Linked DNA regions of Oryctolagus cuniculus. The protein of the gene in region 2 purifies or fractionates together with the protein of the main gene of each other region. This does not show direct contact. Links are inferred from orthologs where the notes say so. Each region holds a gene or a part of one and is shown on either strand. Other genes may lie near its edges. The genes, in order: CAPZB and MTPN.

Evidence for each region.
Region 1: the proteins of MTPN (region 2) and CAPZB purify together in Homo sapiens (co-immunoprecipitation; 3 studies listed by BioGRID and IntAct, with this or other methods). This does not show direct contact. The link is inferred for Oryctolagus cuniculus from reciprocal best matches to the Homo sapiens genes MTPN and CAPZB.

The regions. Positions count from the first base shown.
Region 1 is NC_091438.1:151,246,334-151,250,134, forward strand, and holds part of CAPZB (F-actin-capping protein subunit beta), read left to right. Parts: intron 1-461; coding exon 462-603; intron 604-1,380; coding exon 1,381-1,497; intron 1,498-3,801. UniProt on the Homo sapiens protein: F-actin-capping proteins bind in a Ca(2+)-independent manner to the fast growing ends of actin filaments (barbed end) thereby blocking the exchange of subunits at these ends.
Region 2 is NC_091434.1:171,773,271-171,777,534, forward strand, and holds the start of MTPN (myotrophin), read right to left. Parts: upstream 2,936-4,264; 5' UTR 2,613-2,935; coding exon 2,541-2,612; intron 1-2,540. UniProt on the Homo sapiens protein: Promotes dimerization of NF-kappa-B subunits and regulates NF-kappa-B transcription factor activity. Plays a role in the regulation of the growth of actin filaments.

The DNA.
Region 1 (3,801 bases), on a different chromosome or scaffold from region 2:
TCGTGACTGGGAATTTTTCCATATCGATTGAGATCAGAGGAGGAGGCTCCAAGCTGGACCCAGCCCTTCACTGAGTCTTTCCCAGGCTCTGGAGGAGTTTGCTGCTCCCATCTGTCCTGCAAAGAGCCGTCTAGAAGAAGGAAACTGGGGCAGCAGCTGCTCCAGGAGCCGTGTCGCACCCTGCGCTGCGTCCCCCGTCTGGGAGGAATCTGAGTCCCTGAGAAGGCAGAAGGGGTGTCAGAGACCACAGAGCCGCAGCCCTGAGACCACAGAGCCACAGCCCTGAGCCCACGCTCTCCCCGCGTCCCTCCCCAACCTGGGGCACCAGGACACAGCCAGGGATCCACCCCGGGACCTGTGCAGGGTTGTTCATCCCACACTGCCAGGCGAATCGCAGCTGAGGGGCAGCCGGGACCTGGACTGGCCATCTGTCTCCTGGCTCACGGGCCTGTTTCCTGCAGGTATTTTGAAGGTGGTGTCTCATCTGTCTACCTCTGGGATCTGGATCATGGCTTTGCGGGAGTGATCCTCATAAAGAAGGCTGGAGATGGATCAAAGAAGATCAAAGGCTGCTGGGATTCCATCCACGTGGTGGAAGTGCAGGTACAGCCCCCGCAGCAGCCGGCAGCCGGGCCTCCGGGTGCAGCTTTGGCGCTGGGGACACTGATGAAAACCCCTGCTAATTCCTAGAAACACCCCAAAGCCGATTGGATGCAGATCAGTGAGGACTGAGTAGTCGTGGATCATAAGGTCCCAGCGAACTCGGCGTACGCGGTTACAGATGCAGCCCTTTCAAAAACAGCGTGGGGTGGGTGTGCGGCACGGCAGTCAGGATGCGACTTAGGGTCCTGCGCCCCGTAGTGGAGTGCCTGGGTCCTCCCCGCTCTGCTTCCAGTTCCAGCTTCTTGCTAACGCACACCCTGGCAGGCTGGAGTACCTGGGTCCCTGCCACCCACATGAGAGACCCAGATTCAGTTCTCAGCTTCTGGCTTCGGCTGTGCCCAGCCCTGGGTGTTGAAAGTGGGGAATAAATCTCTCACGCCATCTTTTGGCTTTTCAAATAAAATAATTAAAAACATTTCGGGGAGTCCCTCCCTTCCTCCCCCCCCCCCCTCTCTAGAAAGCTACAGATCTCCCCGTTGGTGTTTCTCTCTCCAGGTTATCTGTAACAGCCTGGGCTGTGCCTGGCCAAAGCCAGGAACTGGCACTCAGTCCAGGTCTCCCACTTGGGTGTCCCTTGCTGCCTCCCAGGGCAGATGCGAGGAGGGAGCTGGATCCAGCATAGAGTACGGGCATGCCAGATGCCCACCCCAGTGGCCATGGCTGAGGAGGGAGCACTTGAGCGTTCCTCGGGCTCTGATCTCTCGTCCTCCCCTGCAGGAGAAGTCCAGTGGCCGCACTGCCCACTACAAGCTGACTTCCACGGTGATGCTGTGGCTGCAGACCAACAAATCCGGCTCGGGTACCATGAACCTCGGAGGCAGCCTTACCAGACAGGTAGTGTCTCCCTTCACTCAGCCCAGCGCACACTCCAGCTCCGCCCCCGAGCGGCCATGGCTGCCTCGCAGCGCTCGTGGGCTGCACTCCCTCGGCCCCCTCTCTGGCCATGAGCAGCCCTGTGGTCCGGTCAGCCCTCGGCTTTGTCAGGAGCTTGTTAGAAACACAGAGCTCTCAACCCTGACCGGTCAGCTTCTCCTGACTTCCGCTCTCGATGCTATTGGTGAAGCGTCAGAACAGATAAGCTACCTTTGGCAAGCCTCACCCATCCTGAGAGAAGGCATTCACCTGTGCCCAGTGCAGGGCGGCAGGACGCTTGGGGTGGGGCAGAGGGGAAGCCCAGACCCAGCCCACCCCAGCCTGGGAGGGAGCTGCCTTCGCCCGCCAGCGCGGATGCTGTGTTGGTGGAAGTGCGGTGGCCTTGGGCGTCCAGGGGAGCTCTCTTCTCCCGTCCCTGTTCCCGTTCTCGTCCGGCCTGCTCTCCTGGACAAGGGTTCCTTTTAACATCAAAAATCTTTTCAGTAAGATAACTGTACTCTTAGTTAGTTGCTGTTGATAGAAAAAATAACATAGAGCAGAAAGGATTGATTCGGTAACCCTCTGAAGTGGATTTGTAGTCACGCGGTTGAGACGGTGCCTGGGCGTGGCATACCTGAGGTGCAAGGGCCGTCCCACCGGGCTGGAGGCTGCCAGGTTCCTGGGGTCCCCGTCTGGCCTCTGGCACCAGGGCTCACAGGGCAGGGCCTGTCCTCTCATGTGGGATGGCTCTTGCCTTCTGGGGACCAGTGACACGGGAGGGGCGACCAGCCCTGCCACAGGCTCCTCCCCCACTCCGGCCACCTGGCAGTCGGGTGCAAAATCCTGGCTCCGTATCCGGAGACTACTTCCTGCATCACTTACCGCTCTGCACTGTTTATAGTTCCACCCGGTCTACAGTGACCTGGACAAATATTTAGTCCTCGGCCTTCCTAGTAGTTTAAATCAGAGCTGTCAGCCCACGGCCAGCGCCTGGTTCCGGCTTGGCGTGCAGGGTGCTCCTGCCAGACCAGACTCGGGCCTGACGAGCAGCTGTCCTCAGAACACCTCAGGGGGCCACCGGCCTGCTCTTGCCTCTGCTCTGGGAGCTTTAGCGAGAAGACCCTGACTCCTGTCGTCATGTAATCACCTGCGGTGCGTGGCAGCTGGGGCCGTCTCCAGTGTCGGTCACTAACTGGGGGGTGCAGTGAGGTCAGTGAGCCTGAGTAGATGGCACAGATTCTGAGCAGCAGGCGACGCAAGGGCCGCGGGCTTCAGCCGTGCGTCCCGGGCTCAGCCTTGGCCAGGTGCCTCTGGTTGCCTTGGCAGGTAGGGGGCTGGAGGAGCGGCAAAGAGGTTCCCGGCGGATGGAGGAAGCCAGGGAGCGTGTGCAGACCCTGTGTGGGGCCGGCTCCCCAGGGAGGGTGCGCAGACCCTGTGTGGGGCCGGCTCCCCAGGGAGGGTGCGCAGACCCTGTGTGGGGCCGGCTCCCCAGGGAGGGTGCGCAGACCCTGTGTGGGGCCGGCTCCCCAGGGAGCGTTGCAGACCCTGTGTGGGGCCGACTCCCCAGGGAGGGTGCGCAGACCCTGTGTGGGGCCGGCTCCCCAGGGAGGGTGCGCAGACCCTGTGTGGGGCCGGCTCCCAGCAAGGACAAGCGCAGGAGAGCCAGCGTTCCCATTGAACAGGGAGGAAGCAGGTTCAGGCTGGTAAGGGCCTCTCCCATGCTGACTCAAGCAATAAGAGGCAAAGCCTGGATTTGACCCTAGATTTGTTGACTTCCCCTCACCGCCCCCGAAAAAAACCCACTGCTTTCTGCCACGCCACACTTTTGATTTTTGGGGGGGGGGGCCATACTAGTTTTTTGTTGTTGTTGTTTAGTTGGTTTTTTGGGGTTTTTGGGGTTTTTTTTTGAAGATTTATTATTTATTTGAAAGGCAGAGTTATAGAGAAAGAGGTCTTCCATCCTCTGGTTCACTCCCCAGATAGCTGCAGTGGCCGGAGCTACACCGATCCGAAGCCAAGAGCTTCTTCCAGGTCTCCCACGCGGGTGCAGGGGCCCAAGGACTTGGGCCATCTTCTGCTGCTTTCCCAGGCCATAGCAGAGAGCTGGATCAGAAGTGGAGCAGCTGGGACTTGAACCAGCACCCCTATGGGATGCCGGCACTGCAGGCGGCTTTACCCGCTACGCCACGCGCCGGCCCCGCTTTTGGTCTTGATCTGTCCCCGGTGGCTGATGTTCAGCAGATGCTAAATAAACATTCGAAGGGAAATACTCTGAATATGAAGCTC
Region 2 (4,264 bases):
GGCTTACGGTCAGTCAAGAAGCCAAAATGCACTAGTGAAAGACTTTTTAAAATTGCCTCAACCATCATTTTAATGTTTAATATGGAGTAACCTAACTTTTTTCCTGTATGTTGCTTTTTCCTTATAGAAACATGCAATTTTCAGTGGTCTGGGAATTCTGAACTGACTCTTCAGAGTTCAAAAACTCACTTAACATCAACAATTTATGGCTATCCATACTTCAATTTCTGTAGAGAAGTCAGAAGCAAGTAAAAACATACAATTACCGATTTTTTTAAAGAAAAACATTAAAATGCTTCTCCTACAAGAACATTCTTATATGTTAACAATATGAGTGATTTGCATAAAGTTACTAAATAGATTATTTTAAAAAGGCTTCTAAGAATGAAAACTAGACAAGTTCAAATGTTTCTTTAGTGCTCTGTATACACCAACTCAGATAAATGCACCTAAACTCAGCAAATAATGCTCCTAAATTGATGGATGAAAAAGATGAGATAATGAACAAGTACAGAAGAGGCAGCTGAGCAGAAGAGGCTGTAATTAGGACTTGAGAGTGTAAAAAGGCAAAATAAAGGAGTTCATCAATAAAAAACTGGAGGGTCAGGTGTTTTTTGTTTTGGTTATTGTTCTCATTAACAAAGTAAAAGATATTTTAAGAGAACCATGTTACTCAGTGAAAACTAAGAAAGGCAAAAGTTCAATGGTCTGTAAGTAGGATTACATTACAGTCAAACCCTTTTGGATAACCTGGTATTCAATACTTCCTTTACTTTTGTACATCCTCCCTATCACACACATTTTTTTTTGTTGTTGTTGTTAATGACAGTAGGTGGTACGGTAGTAATTAGGGGAGAATCAAACTTAACACAGTAACCTAATTTCAAAGCCACCTGAAAGGAAATTAAATTAATCCATCCTTATTGGCATATATTCTTACAACAATGTTTTCATGTGATTGAGAACTCCTTGGGCACAAATTATTGGCCTGGATGTGGAACTTGGGGGTGTCCTACCATAAATCTTGTTTTTTTATGCTTTCACAACTATGTTTTAGAGTGAGAGAGACTGTATGGGGTAACTAAAATGTCTCTGCTCTGAAGTGAGCACTTCTAGGTTCACCATTTTGTAAAATCAGTATCTGTATGAGACTAATGATAGGACTTACCTTGTAGTATTTGCAAAGATAACATATGTATCACGAAGACTGCATATGAAGTGTGTTACTTTTGTAGCTTTAAGTTCAGTTAGTACTTAGCAACTTTCTGAATTTCAAATAACCTGGGTTCCGCCTTGACAAGAAAACCAAAGCCTACTCATTTCCAGAATACAATGTCCCACCACTGGTCAGGCTACCACGGACTGCAGTTCCACATAATTTCTTTTCTTCAACCTTACATTGAAACAGCCAATAATTCAGATCTCAGTGAGAAACCACTAGCGGAGAAGACAGTGCGCAGAAGGCACCCTGTCCTAAAAAGCCACTGCAAGCAACAAGCAGAAAGATCTAAATTGTGAGGGTACAGAATACAGTACAGCAGTCAGCAGCCTGCCTTGCGCAACCCTCCAAGTTTTAAGAAACTCCTGCTTCTGCTTCCTGGCTTCCTACCACACATCTCCAAGGCGGCACGCCGCTGGTCACACCTTGGAAGAATGAAAATCTACAATAGGCTCTCCCGCGTTCCAGAAGGTGCGCAAGACGCCCTTCGCAGCGTCACAAAACCAGACTTCCATTCTGGAAGCCTTTTTGTTGGGTGAGCACCATACTAGAATCACCTGTAAGTCCCCTCCTACAGAAGGTGAGGTCACGGGTCTCATTACGGCTGCGGTTTTACGGTCTGCGCTTGGGTTTTGAGGTCGGCTCTCCCGATCATGATTTCACCCTCAAGCACACTGTCACTGCACCGCATCATCACGCATGTGAGCGTTCCAGAGCGAACTGGCGAGAGGATGAACTTACCACGCTTGCTTGTCTGACGACCACTCCTATTTCTCCAACACCCCAGATGTCAACTGACAGCCCTACCACTTGAGGCAAAGATGCGTTTGTTGTGGCGAGGGGAGAGGAAAAGGCCACACCCTGAGTCAAGGCTCCACAACCAAGTGACACCGAGTTTCAGGATGTTAACTACTGCTATTTTCGGTACCCTCTTTCACGGTCAGTGACTTTTTAAAATTCACGCCAGGCCCAGAGTTAGAGAAAACGCTACTCAGACGACTTCGCCCGGCGACGGGCAAGTCGGAGACGGAGACGTACCCCCACTCACAGCCAGAGTTAAGGGGCCAGCCCCAGACGCTCAGCGCTCAGGACGGACTCTCGGGAGCCCGGGACCACTCCGGCCCTGCCCCGAGGGCTCCGGCCGGCAACAGCACACAGCAGGGACCTGACACAGCACGCCACCCGCCACCCGGCCACCTGCACTCCCCGTCTCCTCCGAGCCACCTCCGCCCGTCTCCCCGCCCGCCCGCCCGCCCCCGCCAGCCCGGCTCCATCAGCTCTGCCTCATCTCCACCCCACCCCCGTCCTCTCGCCCGCTCACCTTGGCCACGTAGTCCTTCACCTCGTCCAAGTCTCCGTTCTTCAGGGCCCACATGAACTCCTTGTCGCACATCGCTGCAGCGGGGCGGGCCGCTTGGTCCGGCAGAAGACGAGGCGGCGGCGGCAGCAGCCAGCGGATACCGCCCGGCGGGAGGGACACGGGGCCGCACGAAGCCGGAGAGGAGACGAGAAGGCGGCTTAGGCTGCCAGACGGGCGAGGCAGTTGGCCGCGACAACCGTTGGGGCGGGAGAATGAACTTTTGCGGCCACCAGGCCCAGCGGAGCAGGTTCCGCCTGGCCGAGAGAAGCTGGAGCGCTAGCACTTCCGGTTCACTCCCCGCTAGGACCCGCCCCTAACTTCCTCTTCCTCTTCCCCTCCCCGGAACTGCCCTCTGTGGACCCCGCCCCTGCGCCGGCGGCGCGAGCCACACTAGTGCGCAGGCGCAGTGGCTAGGTGGCCCTCGCCTGGCCGGGAGGGAGGGGCTGGGGAGGGGTTCCCGGGTTTGGGAAGCTGAGTGTAGGGGTACCGGGGAGCTGCGGGGAGAAGAGCCGGTGGGGGAGGGTCAGAGCAGGTCAGACTGGAATAGGAGATTTCTGCACCCAGTAAACGGGAAGAACTTTTTTAAATCTTGGAGGGCCTCTTGCTCACCTTCTAAAGATGTCAAGTTCAGGCGATTTTTGATTTGGGTTTCTCCCTTCTCTCCCCTCCCTCCATCCCGTCCTCCCTCCCTCCTCCCCTCTCTTCCTCTCTCCCTCCAGTCCTTCCTGACTCCTTCCTCCCTCCCATCTTCCTCCCCTTCCTCCCTTCCCTCTCCCTCCTCCCTCCCTTCATCCCTCCCTCCATCCCATCCTCCCTCCCTCCTGCCCTCTCTCCCTCCAGTCCTTCCTGCCTCCCTTCCTCCCTTCCCTCTCCCTCCTCCCTCCCTTCTTCCCTCCCTCCCTCCCTCCCTCCTGCCCTCTCTTCCTCTCTCCCTCCAGTCCTTCCTGCCTCCCTTCCTCCCTCCCATCTTCCTCCCTTCCCTCTCCCTCCTTCCTCCCTTCATCCCTCCCTCCCATCTTCCTCCCCTTCCTTCCTTTCCCTCTCCCTCCCTTCATCCCTCCCTCCACCCCATCCTCCCTCCCTCCTGCCCTCTCTCCCTCCAGTCCTTCCTGCCTCCCTTCCTCCCTCCCATCTTCTTCCCTTCCCTCTCCCTCCTCCCTCCCTTCATCCCTCCCTCCTGCCCTCTCTCCCTCCCTCCTGCCCTCCCTCCCTCTCTCCTCCAGTCCTTCCTGCCTCCCTTCCTCCCTTCCCTCTCCTTCCTCCCTCCCTTCATCCCTCCCTCCATCCCATCCTCCCTCCCTCCTGCCCTCTCTCCCTCTCTCCCTCCAGTCCTTCCTGCCTCCCTTCCTCCCTCCCATCTTCCTCCCTTCCCTCTCCCTCCTCCCTCCCTTCATCCCTCCCTCCCATCTTCCTCCCCTTCCTTCCTTTCCCTCTCCCTCCTCCCTCCCTTCATCCCTCCCTCCATCCCATCCTCCCTCCCTCCTGCCCTCTCTCCCTCCAGTCCTTCCTGCCTCCCTTCCTCCCTCCCATCTTATTCCCTTGCCTCTCCCTTCTCCCTTCCTTCATCCCTCCCTCCTGCCCTCTCTCCCTCCAGTCCTTCCTGCCTCACTTCCTCCCTCCCATCTTCCTCCCTTCCCTCTCCCTCCTCCCTCCCTTCATCCCTCCCTCCCATCTTCCTCCCTTCT